Sus scrofa: one gene and its partners. The protein of the gene in region 2 interacts with the protein of the main gene of each other region in a pairwise test. Links are inferred from orthologs where the notes say so. Each region holds a gene or a part of one and is shown on either strand. Other genes may lie near its edges. The genes, in order: CLEC7A, BNIP3, BCL2 and LDLRAD1.

Region 1 (4,347 bases), on a different chromosome or scaffold from region 2:
AAGGACCAGGTACAAAACACTTTCTTTAAATCATGAGATATAAAAATGTCTTATAGTCTTTTTAAAGAATTTATTTCATTAGGAAGATAAGCACTAATTGTACTTCCTTCTTCACCTCCGCTGGTTTCCTCTCATTCATTTACCCTAGGAATTCCACAGCTTTGAAACCAGCTATTCAAGAAGGTAGTAGATCACTGCAGTTAAAAGTATGAGTTTTTTAGACATACTGCCTAAACATCCAATCACGTTCCTACCATTAACTGGTTTATGATGCCAGGACTAAAATAAGAACTAATAGCACTAATTCAATAAGGTCAATATGCAGATTAAATAAGATTATGTTACACTCTTAAAAGAGTGCCTAGATCATTACACATTTTTAATTAAATATCTGCCATTGCTCATCTCCTCCAGTACTCACCCATGGTACCCAGGACCACAGCTATCACCAACATTAACAAGCATAAAATTCCCAAAGTCACAGTAATGGGTCGCCAATAAGGGGATGCAGCACAAGGTCCTGAGGAGCCAAAGAGAGCAGAAATTGAGTAAAGTAACTGGATAATGGATCATGGAACATTTCAGTTCTCTAGTTCATCAAAATCTGATCCCCGAAATATCTACTCATCTGGAATAATCTGAATTTTTCTCCCCTTTTAGCAATACCTCTTCATGTTTCTGAAACTGTAACTTGAGTGCAGTGCCTTGGTATTTGTGCACTCTAAATTTCAGCTCCACATTGATGTTTATATGTCTTACACTATCAGGATTCCTGAAAGCATACTCCTTCTTGAGACAGCTTCATGGAGCAGAAATAGCACTGGTTTCTAAGAGTAATCTTCCCCTTTCTCTTATTTGTTGCATGCTCTTGGGAAAATTATGCCCTCTGGTTTTTGTTTTTGTTTTTTTTCAATTCTCTTTGTGAAAAGTGAGGGTACTAATACATCAAAATGTTATTATGAAAATTAAATAAGTTAACACACATAAAGGCACCTAGACTACTAGCACAGTCTAGATAACCCACCGTTTAACCACACATACATGTAAACACACACATACCTCCCTATCTTTTGCATAGTTTTTCCACTCTCCCCCAACAGGTTGCCCAAGGAAAGAATTGCACAAGCGATGAGAGGAAAATAATTGTGCAATATGAATGAGCAGAAAGCAGAAGGGAGCAAATTCTGACGTCAAAACCTGTGAATAAACTCTCCCTTGATAACAAGAAATTCATTTTCTATTAATACCCCTACACCAAGATTGAGAATAGGCATTAAGAGCATTTCAGAGAATTTTCAAATAGGAGAATTACAGGGGAGATTAAATGGCTCATTCAATGAAGAGAGAGGTCTCTGCCGGCCTACACCACAGCCACAGAAACGTAGGATCTGAGCTGCCTCTGTGACCTACACCACAGCTTAGGGCAACGCCGGATCCTTAACCCACTGAGCGAAGCCAGGGATCAAACCCGCATCCTCGTGGATCCTAGTCAGGTTTGTTAACGCTAAGCCACAAAGGGAACTCCTAAAGAGACCAATGCCCTTGTCCAGGTTTCACTTCTTTTACATTTGGTTTAAGACTCGTGTCCTGATAATGGGATATTTTTATCTAACACATATATTTCTTCACTGACATACAAAAACTCCCTTTACAAAAAATAAAAAAAAAGAATATCAAATCAACCTCATTATCACACATACAAAAAATTCAGATTTGGGCTTCTAAGCCCTAAGACTTCTGACTTCTTTGGCCTTTTCCACAAAATCACAAGTTGTTTTTTCCATCTTTTCATTCTTCTCCTGATCTCCAGTATCTTGATGTTGTTCATATCCACTGCTTTGCCTTTCTTTTTTATTTTTGTCTTTTTTAGGGCCACACCCGAGGCATATGGAGGTTTCCAGGTTGGGGGTCAAATGGGAGCTGTAGCCACTAGCCCACACCACAGCCATAGCCACGCCAGATCTGAGCATCATCCGTGACCTACACCACAGCTCACGACAACACCTGATCTTTAACCCAGTGAACAAGGCCAGGGATCGAACCTGCGTCCTCATGGGTGCTAGTCAGATCTGTTTCTGCTGAGCCACGACAGGAATCCCTGCTTTACCTTTCCTTAAATCCCATGCTACAATTTACTCATTTCTATCAAGTAGGTCACTCCTGTCAAAATTCTTTCATCTTTGCATTTCACCTCACTTAGTACAACTTCTTACTTTGGAAGTGCCCATCTCTAGAGAATAGAGAAATTGTAGGTATTTTTCATCATCATAATAATTAACTTAAATAAATTTGACACTTGAACATCACTGGGGTTAAGGGCATCTACCCTCCCACAGTCGAAAAAATTCCTCTATAACTTATGGTGGACCCTCAGTATTTGACGTTCTCCATATCTACATTCAGCTTCCACAGATTCAGTCAACTTCAGATGGTGTAGCACTGTAGTATTTATGATTAAAAAACCTCCATATATAAGTGGACCTGTGCAGTTCAAACCCCTGTTGCTCAAGGGTCAACTGTACTAATGATTGGTCACTGAATGGTTGCTGAGAGAAAAGGCTTCGTGCACATTCAAAGAATCTTCAGCGATTTCTGAAAATCAACATATAGTAATAAAAGCCCAACAAATCACGTCTCGCCTCTCTTTTCCACTTCCAATTTCAGTTGATGAGATTGACAATGTTGAAATCAGAAAGAAAAAAAAATACCTTTCTCGGAGACCACAGATCTCCTGGTGAGGTTGTGAGAGCTGAAGTCTAACTGAGTGTATCCATCTTCATCCACATTTTCTAAAGGAGACTGGTATTCCATGGTTCAAGTGAGTTTCTAAACTGACACAGCATTTGCGAGCTCATCCCTCTCTTCTCCTAAGACAAGTGCCTCTAGACAAAAGAGGATCTAGGAGTCAAATCATGTGGGATTGGTTTACTAAGCATTAACAAGTAGTCCGACCAGCTACCCAAAAGCAGGAAATGAAAACTAGGCTGTGGTAACTTCCCATTGGTACCTTCAGATCCTGTTTCTGAGACTGATGTCACATAAAAAATGAAAAGGTAGCACACGAGATAGATCTTTGTTTCAGGCCAAATGTAAGACAAATGACACCATTCATGTCTTGGGCTGCTTTCATCAGTCTCACAACTGAATTGGACATCATCAGTTGACTTGGCCTAGGTAAACTTAAAATAATTTTGATACCTTGAATTCACCAATACTTTGCTAGACCTATACATTCATTCATTTACTCATGTACTCACGCTTCTAGTAAACACTTAGCAAATATCCATCTTTTCATCTGGCCAGAGCTGGGATTAGAAGAACAAAATGATTACCTGTGAAGAATCTCACTGACTAACAGAAGAACCCAGAGACAGTAGCTATAGGAAGGATGCCATTAGAAGGTACACTGTAACACATCTCTTTGGGATTTGTCAGGGTTGATAATACAAAGTAGTACATTATTTATTCAACAATGACTATGAGCTAAGTACTACCCATCTACATGTTCTCTCATACAATCTCAGTTTTCCAACAAGTCTGTGAGCTAGACACTACTGGTCCTATTTCTTTTAGTCCTATGTATTATTTTTCATATAATTTTCCATTATTATTTATACAAGATTTATACGCACCCATGGGTATATAGAAGTTCCCATGCTGGGGTCAAATTGGAGCTACACCTGCCAGCCTCCCCCACGGCCACAGCAACACAAAATCTGAGCCACGTCTGTGACCTGCATCATAGCTCATGGCAAAGCTGGATCCCAGACCACTGAGCAAGGCCAGGGATCAAACCTGCATCCTCATGGATATTGGTCAGATTCATTTCTGCTGTGCCACCACAGGAATTCCCACAAAACATTGAATATAGTTCCCTGTGTCATAGTGTAGGACCTTGTTGTTTAGTCCTATTTTCAAATGACAAAAATGAGACATAGAAATTTTATCCACTTGCTCAATTTTAAGAAACTACTAAAAATATTGCAAGGAATGAAACCAAAGTCTACTCTTACTGCTAAACCCATGACCTCTTCTGTTATGCTACCATTCCATACGCTTACATGGCAAGTAACAGCTTATAGAGAATTCTGGGACTGAATATTATATTAAATACTTGATGTTTCCTCTTTTCCGATTTCCATAGTAATTCCCAAATTAATGAGATATGGAAAACACTTATCATTGCTGGAAACTAGAGGTACTCAACCCATTCACAAGATTTTGAAGCAAACAGAGTGAAGGAGATATCTGGCAGTTGTCGAAGACAAAAAACCCTAGGCCCTCATTAAAGCAGCAAGGACAGATTTTGTTCAGTTATATGATTACAACAGAAAAGAAGGCCCCAAA
Region 2 (4,172 bases):
AGGAAGCCAGGGTTGCCACTGACCCCCTTCCACCTGCAGTCACGAGCGCCCTCGCCTTCCTGGGCCAGAAAGATGGGAGCCAGGCTGCTTCACGGCACCGCCTCAGCAGCACAAATAACCTGTCAAGTCACTGGTACAATGAGGCCTCAGAAAAAACAGGTGGTGATACCTCTGCCCAGACTCGGGCCCCTGCCCACACCTGCCTACCACGCACACAGCAGGACACAGGGCAGGTGAGCATGGCAGGTGAGAAGGATGAGCAGCCTCGGCTGCTCATTCGAAGTCACATCACAAAAGGGGCTGACAAGCCTTAGACTTGTTAGCCCGTCTTGATGTTCATTCGTTTTGTTAAAACACAAACTGTGACCCCTTTCTCCACAGTCCTGCCTCCACAGTGAGACGCCAGGCCCTGGGTCCCAGAGCCCCCGCACCCTGGTCTGGGCTGGCAGGCCTCCACCCAGGCTACCGAGGACCGCCTGCGGTGCCCTCCCCGCTCTCTGGAGTCCCACCCCCGGTTCGGAAGGCTGGGTCAGAACCCAGTCGGGGCATTTCCTTTGCAAAAACTCTTGCGGTGATGAAGGTTTGAAAACTGCTAGGCAAGTTCCTAGGAGACAATGGGATCGAGGTCACAGAGGCCCCCGGAGAAGCGCCCCCATCCCAGGCAGAGCGGCTCACTAAGCCTGCAGGCAACCACCACCCGAACCAGCTGGGGTTTTACGAAGTGACAGTTTTAAAAAGCTTCTCAAGTTGGGTGGGACAGGACAGAGGCCTGATGAACCGGGAAGTCGACCAGGCAGGTCACCGAGGCTCCAAGAAGCAGGAGCTGATTAGTCGCACCCTCCGCCTGCCTGGCGAGCGCCCTGTCGCTGAGGCTCCAAGCCGCCCACCAGCACCCAAAGGAGGCGGCCCTGAGAAGTCACTGCGGCCTCATTCACTCCTCTCTGGGCCAGGACCTAGTGTCTGAAATGTCACCCTACTGCACCGGACACATGCGCTACTCACCTTCCTCTCCATGCGCCCGGGCCCCTGGTGGGCTGCTGGTGACAGCAGAACCCTAGGGCTGCAGGAGAAGGGCTGGGGCGGCCTCGGGCACCCCAGGGCACCTCACGGCGCTGGTCAGGCCCCAGCAGAGCAGGGAGGGCGTTCTCCAGGACAGTAAGTCTCCCCCCCACACACACTCTAGCAGCTGTTTATCTGAGGAAAAGGTCGAGCTGCCAGTCAAGAGCTCTGAGCGGGAAGGACCAGGAGTCCAGAGGGAGCCATCAGCTTGGCTGTGAACTCGGGAGACACCCAGTCAAAGGCGGGAGCAGAGGGGAGAACGCGTGCTGCTGTCCGTCGGTGGGGCTACCAAGGCTCAGCGTTCTTTCCAAGGTAAACAAGAGGCAGTCAAACCAAAACAGAGCTGAGGACAGGCGCCACCAACCCGGGCGGGGACTCACGTTTCTCAGGGCGGACCCGGGGCCCATGTGACCCTCTGGGCAGGACCCTGAGCAAGTGCCCCACAGCACGTACCCGAGAGGAGCCCAAAGAGCCCAGCAGGAGTTTCCACTCGGCCTGCAACTGTCTTTTTATAGAATAAACAAAACAGAAAAACAAATCTTTTAACTTGGGAGCTGGCCTTCTGCATTGCCAATGACTCAGCAGTTTGGTGTGTCAATCAAGGAACGGAGATGGGGGCTCTGGGCGCTTAGAACCCTTCCAGACACAAATCTCAACCACCAAAGCACGAGGTCAGAAGCGTAGACGAGTGACCACGGCATCCTCGGTGGTGAGAAAAGACAGATTCAATCTCAACCTGTTTCCAAGAAGATAAGCAGTGTTGAAATTTAATGAGATGACAGGATTTTTAAACTGTCGTCTTAGTTCTAAATGCACATTATACAACGCATTACACCGAGTCTTACTTAGGAAAAGCTTGTTGGAAGGCGTAAGAAAATGTGGCTAAGTTCAGATAACAAAAAGGTTTTCAAAAACTTAAAAATGCACCCGCAAAGGTTTCGACGGTCCTCTCCAAACTTATTTACGTGCTCCCGCTGCCTAAACTCTTGCTTCAGAGGATCCAAAGGTCGCGCGCACGGCCCCTCCTCCAGCCCGCGGCCGCGGGGCTCCCCAGGGACAGGACCGCGAGGCCGGACCCCGCGAGCCCGCTTTCCGGGAGGGGCAGGGGGTCCCCGCCTCGCCGGCCACCAGTCCGCGTCCAGCTTGGCTTTGGAACGACCCCCAGGACGAGAGAACCTGAGCTTCAGGGAAGAGCTGGCGGCGCGCCCCCGCCGTGTCTAAGCGGCCCCCCGACGCTGACCGGCGCCCCGCACCCCCGGCAGCCCCGGCAGCCCACGTCCCCCAGCCGCGCCTCCGGACCGAGCCGACGACGCTGCAACCACGTCCACGAACTCCACCCGCAAGCCAGGCGTTTGCTCGCCGGTACCGGCACGGGCCCTGGGCTGCGCCTCTGCCGTCCGGGGAGGCTGCACCCGCCGCGCCCCGAGCCCGCGGCGCCCGGCCTCCCGGGGGTCCCCGCGCAGCCCCTCCACCAGGCCGCCCGGGCCCGCTCACCGTGCAGGCTCTCCTCCTGCAGCCCGGGGGCCTCGCTCTGAGACATGGCGGCGGGGCGGCGGGGGCCGGAGCCGAGCTGCGGCCGCAGAGGGACGGGGGGAGGCGGCAGCGGTGGCGGCGGCGGCGGCGGCGCGGGCCTAGCAGCTCGAGCGCGGTCGGCCCGCGGCCCGACTGACTGACGCTGGCGGCGGACGCACGGCGGATAAGCGGCGGCGAAGCGGCGGCGCCGCCCATTGGCCGCGGGGCGGGGCCTTCGAGGGCGCGTGCGGCGCGTGCGACGCGTGCGCGGGGCGGGGGCGGGGGAGGGGTCGCCTGAGGAGTGGAGCGCGCGTGCGCTGGCCGGGCGGTGCGGAGGGGGCTGCGCGTGCGCAGGCGGGACGGGGCGCGGGGCGGGGCGGGGAGACCCGGGCCGGGAGCGCGCGCCCTGGGGGGCGAGGCGTGGGAAACCGGCAGGTGCGTGTCGGACGTGCGGGCCCCGCGGAGAAACCTAGGCCGGCGGGAGGCGGGGCCTGGCGGGGCCTGGGCGTCGGTGATACTGCCTGAGGCCTGACCGCGCTCCCTCTGACCGCGGGGAGGAGAGCAAGGGAGGCGGGGCAGCCAGCCGAAGGCGGCGCTGGCAGTTTGGCCGGCGTCCTGAGGCCACCAGCCGGTCGCCCCTCTCAGTTGACCGCCTTTTGTACGTCAGCCTGGCGGGAAGTCAGATCAGAATCTCTGGCAACAGGTCTGGGATGCCGCACATCAGCCCTGTGACCACAAGGCCTAAATGGCCAGGACTTGATCAGCGATGACAGCTTCCCCGACTTCGGTCCCTGCCTCCAGCTCAGGACCAACCAGAGAAAGACAGATAGGACCAATATTTGCGTCCCTAGCCAATCGCAGGGACGCGGCGGATGCTCATGAGAGGGGCATCAATCTTGCTTTCTCTCTGGATGTCCAGGAGCTGGCCTTGCTTTCAGGCTGACTGTCCTTCTCATTTTCACTTGCTCATGGTGCGTGGAGCCCACGCCGCCCCTGTCCCAGCGGCATTCTAGTTGGGTGCAGCCAGGAACAAACAGAACAGCGTGTCCCTGCAGAGGCGCGAATTGCAGTCTCTCAGTGTTCCCACCCCAGCCCTCCCCAGGCGCCCCTCCCAGCTCCTCGGCCCCTCTTCCTGGGGAAGCAGCTGCGGTATTGAGCCTTAGGGCCCACAGACACCCTGTGTTTGGCCATCATTTAGGTGTTCTTTGACTTTTTTCTCAGCAGTATCTTGCAGTTGTCAGGGTTCAGGGCTCGCACATCTTTTGTCAGAGGCATCTCTAAATATTCATACTTTTAATGTTATGGTGACTACCGTTGTTAAATCTCATTTGATTGCTTTTTGAAAATATATAGGAATATGGATTTTAGTGTCATCACGTCTTGCAACCTGCTAAGCTCACTGAAGTTTTTTATAAGTCCTCGAAAAGACAGTGGCACCTGGTTTTCCTTCCCCATGTGGAACCCTCTACAGCTTCCAGCAAGTTCCATCACCCAGAGGACGCCATGCAAGGAAGTGGCAATGCCGGGACTTGAAGACCTGCTCCAGTGACAGGCCCTACTCTCACCTGCCCTGCCCTGAAAAACAGCCTCAGTGGCCTAGG
Region 3 (4,085 bases), on a different chromosome or scaffold from region 2:
AAAAAAAAAATATGCTCACACATGTTCTTCAAAGATACAGGCATTAATCACTTCAACTAAAGTCAGAGCACAGGAATCCATAGCTAAGAATCAATTCTTCTATGCTTTATATAGATACTGTAGATTCACGTTTATCCAGCAGAGAAGACCCAAAATGATGTGAATTCTAGTTGGTGAAAAGTAAGACAGTAAAATTCCAGTAAACCTCAAAATCATACACAAGTTATAGAAATAGAACACAAAGCGTGCAGCGAATGCAAATTCTGCCACTGATGAAATAAACACCCATAGATGAGTGTTCTTCAAGACAATGGGTCATGCCCACTGGGAATGTGGCTCACATTGCAGCTTGGAATGGCCGGACTTTTGGAAAGTCAACTTACAATTTACCTTTTCACAAACATCCAAGATTTTCAGGGAAATAGGCTCCATTGGTTTTCCTCTTTGGGTAGATGTTACCAAGTGAGGAGAAGGCATGACCTTGGTCTTCTGGGGGAGTCTGTTCTTCTAATTGGGTGGTTCTCACATCTTAGTACAAAGAAGAAACCCCCAGAGGGGCTTATTTCTGATGCAGATTCCCAGGGCCCAGCCTGAGGTCAGTTTATGAGTTGGCCCTGTCTCTGATTTCAAGGAGCTACTCAGGCCAGGTACAGTAATGCTGGGGATCCTTGGACTCCCAGTTTGAAAAACACTGAAGGGATACCATTATCCCAAGAGCCTACTGAATAGCAAAGCCTGGATCTTTGAAACTCAACGGTTGGCAAGCAAGGCAAACAGTTTTGGCGGGAAGGAATGATCACAGTACGGTTGGCAGGGAGAGAGCTCTGAACAGGGGAAATGGGGAGGGAAGCCACAAACCTGATTTTATAGCACTGGCTCATCCGCCCGCCCTTGGTCGAGCAGCCCACCCACACTCCAACCACTGCATCTCAGACCCTTAACGCGCAGCCCAGACTCACATTCAACCACACATGCACCTACCCAGCCTCCGTTATCCTGGATCCAGGTGTGCAGGTGCCGGTTCAGGTACTCAGTCATCCACAGGGCGATGTTGTCCACCAGGGGCGACATCTCCCGGTTGACGCTCTCCACACACATGACCCCACCGAACTCAAAGAAGGCCACAATCCTCCCCCAGTTCACCCCATCCCTGAAGAGCTCCTCCACCACCGTGGCAAAGCGTCCCCTCGCGGTGAAGGGAGTCAGGTGCAGCTGGCTGGACATCTCGGCAAAGTCGCGGCGGTAGCGACGAGAGAAGTCATCGCCGGCCTGGCGCAGGGTCAGGTGGACCACAGGTGGCACCGGGCTGAGTACAGGCCCCGCGGCGGCGGCGGCGGCGGCGGTGGCGGCGGGGGCGGTCGGGGTCGGCGGCGGCGAGGTCCTGGCGGGAGCGGGGGTTCGCCCGGGCTGGGAGGAGAAGATGCCCGGTGCGGGAGCGGCCCCCGGGGACGCGGCGCCCGCGTCTCCGGCATCCCACTCGTAGCCCCTCTGCGACAGCTTATAGTGGATGTACTTCATCACTATTTCCCGGTTATCATACCCTGTTCTCCCAGCGTGCGCCATCCTTTCCCAGAGGAAAAGCAGCCGGGTACCAACAGCACCTCTCGCCCCCGCTTCCCACCCCACGGCCCCGAAAGAGAGAATAGTTATAATCCAGCTATTTTATTGGATGTGCTTTGCATTCTTGGTTGAGGGGGTGTCTTCAGTCACGCGGAACACTTGATTCTGGTGTTTCCCTCTTGGCATGAGATGCAGGAAATTTTTATTTAAATTCCTTTCGGATCTTTAGTTCATGAGGCACATTATTAATTATTGTTAATATCAGTCTACTTCCCCCGTGATGCTGAAAGGTTAAAAAAACTAATCAGTCAAAATCAGGTGCATTTCCCTTTATACACTGGGTGAAAGCAGGGCTTAACACACTACAAGTTACACAGCTGAAAAGAATGTATTAAACTGCCTGGAAATTAAACTTACTCGAATGCACTTAAAAGTTAAAATCTCAAATGTTTCCATTGAAAGTTACATTAAGCCAATTTTCTGTGCAAAGAACTTACTTGTATTTTTTAAGGACAGCATGATCCTCTGTCAAGTTTCCTTTTTGTGAAAACAAAACAAATGCATAAGGCAAAGATTCCATCAATCTTCAGAACTCTCCAGTTATAGCTGCTTTGAAACTTCCAAATGAATCAGGAGCTGGGGGAGGAGGTGTAAAAATTAGGAGAATTTCCAGTTTGATTCCCAGACTTCTCCTTTACAGAAATGTCAATCCGTAGGAATCCCAACCAGAGATCTCAAGAGCACGAGAAAAGAAAGGCAGCGGCGGCGGCAGATGAATTACAATTTTCAGTCCGGGATTTGCAGAAGTCCTGTGATTTTTCCCCTCTCGGCAATTTACACACGCACACACACGCGCGGGCACGGACATGGATTTCTATCCGCGGGGCCGCTTCACGCCTCCACGGGAGAGAGACAGGGACCGGGGGCCGGTGGACGAGCCGGGGACGGGGACAGGAATCCTCTTCTGATTAAACTCCGAACGGCAAATGCATTTTCCGAAAAGCTGCTTGATAAATGAAGGCTGGACGCACCCGGCCCGCCGGTGCCGAGCGCGAGAAGCCCGCGCTGTGTGTGGTGCGGCGAGGGGTGGGGAGAAGGAGGTGGTGGGGGAGGGTTTTATTTTTTCCCTCTTTTCCTAAAAAGGATGACTGCTACGAAGTTCTCCCCCCTGGACCCCCTCTTCCGCTGCACCCCACCGGCGCACCCCGCCTCCGGGCTGCGCACCCTTTCTCCTCCTCCTGCTCCTGCGCGGCAGAGCTGGCTGCGCCCGCCTCCCCCGCGCTCCCGCTCAGGGCGATGACGGCCGCGCCGGCGGGGAGGGCTCGGCTCCCGGCACCTTCGCTGGCAGCGGCGGCGGCGGCGGCGGCGGCGGCAGCGGCGGCGGCTCGGCGGGGAAACCGAGCTTGGCGGGCGGGAGCCCGGCGGGCGGGGGCCAGCGCAGGGAGGAAGGGGGCGGGCGCGGGGCCGGGGGGGCTGGCCTCTTACTTCATTCTCCTCTAACCGACTGGTTTCCTGTATGTACGTCACACTGTTCATTCAAAAAAAGAAGAAAGAAAGAGCCCTCCTCGGAGCCGCCCCACCGCCCCCTCCGCCCCCTCCGCCCCGCTCCCCTTCCCTGGGTTAAAGGAGCCGCGGCCGGCTCTGGAGCGGCGCGCCCCGCGGGGACACATGGCGCGCAGGGCCGCGGCCGGGGAGGGCGAGCCCGGGACAGCCCCCGCCCGCCCGCTCGCTCAGCCTGCCCGCTGGGCCCAGCCGGTGGGTGGCGCGGGCGGCGCAGGCCTCCCGCGCGGCCGCGGCGCGGTGGGTGTGCGCGGGGCCTCTTCGGGCCTTCGGAGGGCCCGGCGAGCGGCCAGGGCCGCCGGGGGAACCGCACGCGGCCGGATGGGTGGCTGCTAGGGGACGGGGGTGGGCGCCAAGAAAACAAGCGCCAGTAATCACTTCGGCCCTAACCGCGCGCGCGCTCCCGTGTGTGTGTGTGTGTGTGTGTGTGTGTGTGTGTGTACACACAAGCCCTTGTGTGTGTGTACACACAGCAGCCCCTGTGTGTGTACACACCAGCGCTTGGCAGATGCTGACCGAAGCAAAGAGACCTCAGCGCTGCCCTCCGAACGGAGGCGACGCTGCTGCACATTCATCAGCGAGGGAAGCCCCAAGCGTGTGTTTACTTTCAAGTTGCTTCCTAGGTGTCCACGCAGAGAATACACTTCGGTGACACCATCCATGACCAAAGCCAGACATAGCTCTCAGTGGCCCGGCAGAGGGATTAGTGGGGTATATACCAAGGGCTTTCAAGTGGTTAAGTCAATGTTTTTCCTCTACTAACAGTCTGGGCACTGGGTTAGGGGCTGCCCGCCACGCTACCGTGGGAGGCTACAGGGCTACCTTAAGGCCCCAAGCCCCCAAACCAGGGTAAGTGGGTCCACGGCCACCTAGCAGCCAATCTAGATAGCTGCACCTTCTCGAGTTATTTATACACAAACACAGACTCGCACACGCACTATATACACATTTTTTTTTATTCACAA
Region 4 (3,620 bases), on a different chromosome or scaffold from region 2:
GCTTGGTGTTTGAGCCCAAGACTTAACGTTTCCCCAAGGGGCGACAAGGTCAGTATCTGAGAGCCTGTCTCAGAGTAGAGGGGCATCTTTCCTCCATGTGACCCAGAGACAAGCTTCAAATCATGGAAGCAGGTTCTCTCATCATTGCTAGGAGCTACTTGACATGGTAGTGATCTCCCCGTCGCTGGAAGGGTTCAAGCAGAGGCTGAAACCCTCGAAAGCACGAGAGGCAATTCTTATTCAGAGGCAACGGTGTGTAGATCCCACTAGATGATCCCACAGGCTCCTTCCTGCCCTTGTGCACTTGGATTCCTAGCTCTTGTGTGTGTGGGGGGGTTATCAGTGCCATTTTAACCAGCTGCCCACTCTGGCCTCGGCGACCCACTCAAGGTCCAGGGCAGGAGTACTCGTCTGACCAGTCGGAGCAGTGCTGCACGTGATCCCGGCAGAGGCTCCTGGGGATGCAGGTGCAATATTTGAAGACGGTCGAGGGGCAGCGCCACCACTCAGGGCCACAGGGTGGGCACGTCGTCACTGGAAAGACAAGAGCCGGCAGAAGAACAGCTGCTGTGTCTTGGAATGTCCTGTGCATCAGGGCACTCCCTAGCTCTGAAACCTGCCATGGCTCCCATAGCCCCACCTCCGCTGACACGGGTAACTACATTCCTCATTCCCCGACAGGAGAGAGAATCCCGGCTCCCCAGCTCATAGGTTGTGTTGTCTCAAGCAAATCTCTCACCCTGTCTGAGCCTCAGTTTCCTCATCAGCTCAAGGCTGCTGTTAAGGACGATAGGCAAAGCGCCAGGCCCACAGTCGATGCTCAGGTATTGCCGGGCACATGTCACCCCGCCCTCCTCTCTCACCCTGACTCAGCGGCACCAGCCTGCTTATGACTCCTTTAGGGCGCCCTGCAGACTCCCCTGTTTGCCCTGGACCCTGGACCGCTAGCATTCTCCCCTGCACACCTGGCCTCTGCCTGTTGAAACCTGTCCTTTTCTGCCTTTTTTTTTTTTTTTTTTTCTGGCAGCATGTTTCTCAGGCTAGGGATCAAATTGGAGCTACAGCTGCCGGCCTATACCACAGCCACACCACAGCAATGAGGGACCCAAGCCATGTCTGTGACCTACACCATAGCTCACAGCCACACTGGATCCTTAACCCACTGATCGAGGCCAGGGATCGAACCCGAGTCATGATGGGTACTAGTTAGGTTGGTAATCTGCCGAGTCACAATAACATCCCCCTATCCATTTTTTAAAGCCTGCTTGAATGCCGCCTCTTCTCAGAAGCCTCCCTTGATTTTTACTCCCCCGCCCCCCACAAAAGAAACCTCTCCAGGACCCCAGCACTTCCTTTTGGCATCACATGATGTGAGTCATGGGAGTAGGACACTTATTTGACTCCTGACTGTCCCCTAGCAGAACCTGGCACCAGGCCAACCCCCAACGTGCTCAGAATGTGTGTGTGGATCGAACAGCAGGGAAGAGGTTGGAAGGAAAACCCGGGACAGTGAAAAAACTCCAGTCCTAAAGTCAAGAGACCCACAATCCCTTCCTATTACTCATTATTTTGTCCCTTCTCCCTCTGGTCTCAGTTTACCTGTGTATAAATTGGGCTCAGTGACTCCTGCCCTGCTTTCCTTGCACGGTTGTTGGATGGTGCAGGGGAGACGAGGGAAGCCCAGGTTCAAACCCCAGTTAGACCATGTATGTACTCCTTCCATGACCGCCCTCTGGGTCCCAGTTTCCTCATCTATGCCCTTGAAGGTAAGTTCCCCACCACAAAAGAATAACCCTTGAGAAGGAGCCACTGGGAGTGGTAGTGAGCACCCTGCCAGTCGAGGCATTCAAGCGGGAGTGGAAAACTTCTTCCTGGGATGCATGAAGGGGATGCAAGGGAAGCCTGGGAGAGTCTCTGGTCAACTTCTACCCCCTGACTACTGCCCAGCCAACTGCCCCAGCCCAGCCTGCACCCAGACCCCCACCTGGGCTCAGTTCATCCGAGCAGTCCCCGCAGTTGTTGAACCCATCACACTTCTGGTCTGAGTAGATCCAGAAAGCGGGGTCTCCACAGTGTGCCACCAGGAAGCTGGGGAGGCTCTGGGGCACGTCTCCTGCAGAGGGCAGATGGGGTGAGAGGCAGTCTGCATCTGGCCACAGCTGGCTCAGAGCTGTCTGAAGGAGGATTGTTCTGGCCACCCTGGCAGCTGTCAAACGCAGGGTCACGACCCATCCAATCCCAGGAAGGGGACAAGGAGTTTTCCTGGGGAGGAGGTCAAGTCAAGGAGAGGGGAGGGTTCTTTGGCTGTTCACCCAGCAGGGCTCCCGGAGCTGCCTCTCCCACCCTCACTCCCTTGAGCCGCCCCCTCCCTGCCATTGCTTTGCTCTATTCCTCCCTCCAGAAGTTCCTCCTCAACCCCTGTCCAGAACCATTCCACCTGCAAGTCCAGGTTCAAGTTCCTTCACCTCCAGGAAGCTTCCACTGAATGGAATATAAAAAGAGAAAATGTGAAGTTTTGCACTTGGATCCCAGATCAGGCGGTGTGGGTTTTTTTTTTTTTTTTTTTTTTTTTTTTTTTTTTTGGCTCTTTAGGGCCGTATCTGCAGCATATGGAGGTTCCCAGGCTAGGGGTCGAATCAGAGCTGTAGCCGCCAGCCTACGCCTGAGCCACAGCAACGCCAGATCTGAGCCACGTCTGCGACCTACACCACAGCTCACGGCAACACTGGATCCTTAACCCACTGAGCAAGGCCAGGGATCGAACCCACAACCTCATGGTTCCTAGTCGGATTCGTTAACCACTGCGCCACAACGGGAACTCCCAGAGCATCTTTCTTAAAAGTGGGTTCTGTGTTAGTCAGCAGCATGACAGGGCTACCAAAAATTAACATAAACTCAGGCCACATCATTAAAGGTATAACCCAGACTTGGGAGGGGAAAAGCCTTTGTTTCTTGGACTGGCCGGAGTTCGTCAGAAGTGTCATGGATGTTTCTGGAGCCAGTCCAGGGAGAGGGGCACGGGCATTGGTCTGTGTTGTTCGGTGTGCTGGCGGAAAGGGGAAGACCAGTCACAAGGCAACGGGGAGTTCAGAGGTGGCCGGGGAAGAGGACACTCATGGGGGGCAAGTCCATGCAGTGCCACCATCGTGGGAGACAGATTGAACTGTAGCTTGTGGGGGGCACGGGTTGCTGACCGGGCAGAGTTGGAACCAATCAAGGATGCTACTGGGAGGCGGCTCTAAACTCAGCACAAGGGAGACCTTCCCATGGAAAACCAGGCAGTGATGGGATCAGCTGCCTCAAGTGGCAGTGAGCTCCCCGTTCCAGGAGTGGGCAAGTAGGGGCTGAGTGGCAGAGGGGATGTGGGCTCGAGCTGGGACATGGACTAGCTGACTTTTTTTTTTTTTTTTTTTTTTTGCTTTTTAGGGCTGCACTTGCGGCATATGGAGGCTCCCAGGCTAGGGGTCGAATCGGAGCTGTAGCCGCTGGCCTACACCAGAGCCACAGTTACACAGGATCTGAGCCATGTCTGTAACCTACACCACAGCTCAAGGCAACATCAGATCCTTAACCCACTGAGCAAGGCCAGGGATTGAACCTGCAACCTCATGGTTCCTGGT

The links.
Region 1: the proteins of BNIP3 (region 2) and CLEC7A interact in binary tests that used the Homo sapiens proteins (3 or more experiments, as listed by UniProt). The two-hybrid records come from large-scale screens. The link is inferred for Sus scrofa from reciprocal best matches to the Homo sapiens genes BNIP3 and CLEC7A.
Region 3: the proteins of BNIP3 (region 2) and BCL2 interact in a two-hybrid assay, tested with the Homo sapiens proteins (2 studies listed by BioGRID and IntAct). The link is inferred for Sus scrofa from reciprocal best matches to the Homo sapiens genes BNIP3 and BCL2.
Region 4: the proteins of BNIP3 (region 2) and LDLRAD1 interact in binary tests that used the Homo sapiens proteins (3 or more experiments, as listed by UniProt). The two-hybrid records come from large-scale screens. The link is inferred for Sus scrofa from reciprocal best matches to the Homo sapiens genes BNIP3 and LDLRAD1.

Annotation. Positions count from the first base shown.
Region 1 is NC_010447.5:61,831,491-61,835,837, reverse strand, and holds the start of CLEC7A (C-type lectin domain family 7 member A), read right to left. Parts: upstream 2,812-4,347; coding exon 2,709-2,811; intron 521-2,708; coding exon of another isoform or gene 422-520; intron 1-421.
Region 2 is NC_010456.5:140,369,152-140,373,323, forward strand, and holds the start of BNIP3 (BCL2/adenovirus E1B 19 kDa protein-interacting protein 3), read right to left. Parts: upstream 2,801-4,172; 5' UTR 2,600-2,800; coding exon 2,554-2,599; intron 1-2,553. UniProt on the Homo sapiens protein: Apoptosis-inducing protein that can overcome BCL2 suppression. May play a role in repartitioning calcium between the two major intracellular calcium stores in association with BCL2.
Region 3 is NC_010443.5:158,336,223-158,340,307, reverse strand, and holds the start of BCL2 (apoptosis regulator Bcl-2), read right to left. Parts: upstream 2,906-4,085; 5' UTR 1,564-2,905; coding exon 982-1,563; exon of another isoform or gene 1-981. UniProt on the Homo sapiens protein: Suppresses apoptosis in a variety of cell systems including factor-dependent lymphohematopoietic and neural cells. Regulates cell death by controlling the mitochondrial membrane permeability. Appears to function in a feedback loop system with caspases.
Region 4 is NC_010448.4:158,298,781-158,302,400, reverse strand, and holds part of LDLRAD1 (low-density lipoprotein receptor class A domain-containing protein 1), read right to left. Parts: intron 2,114-3,620; coding exon 1,985-2,113; intron 535-1,984; coding exon 386-534; 3' UTR 1-385.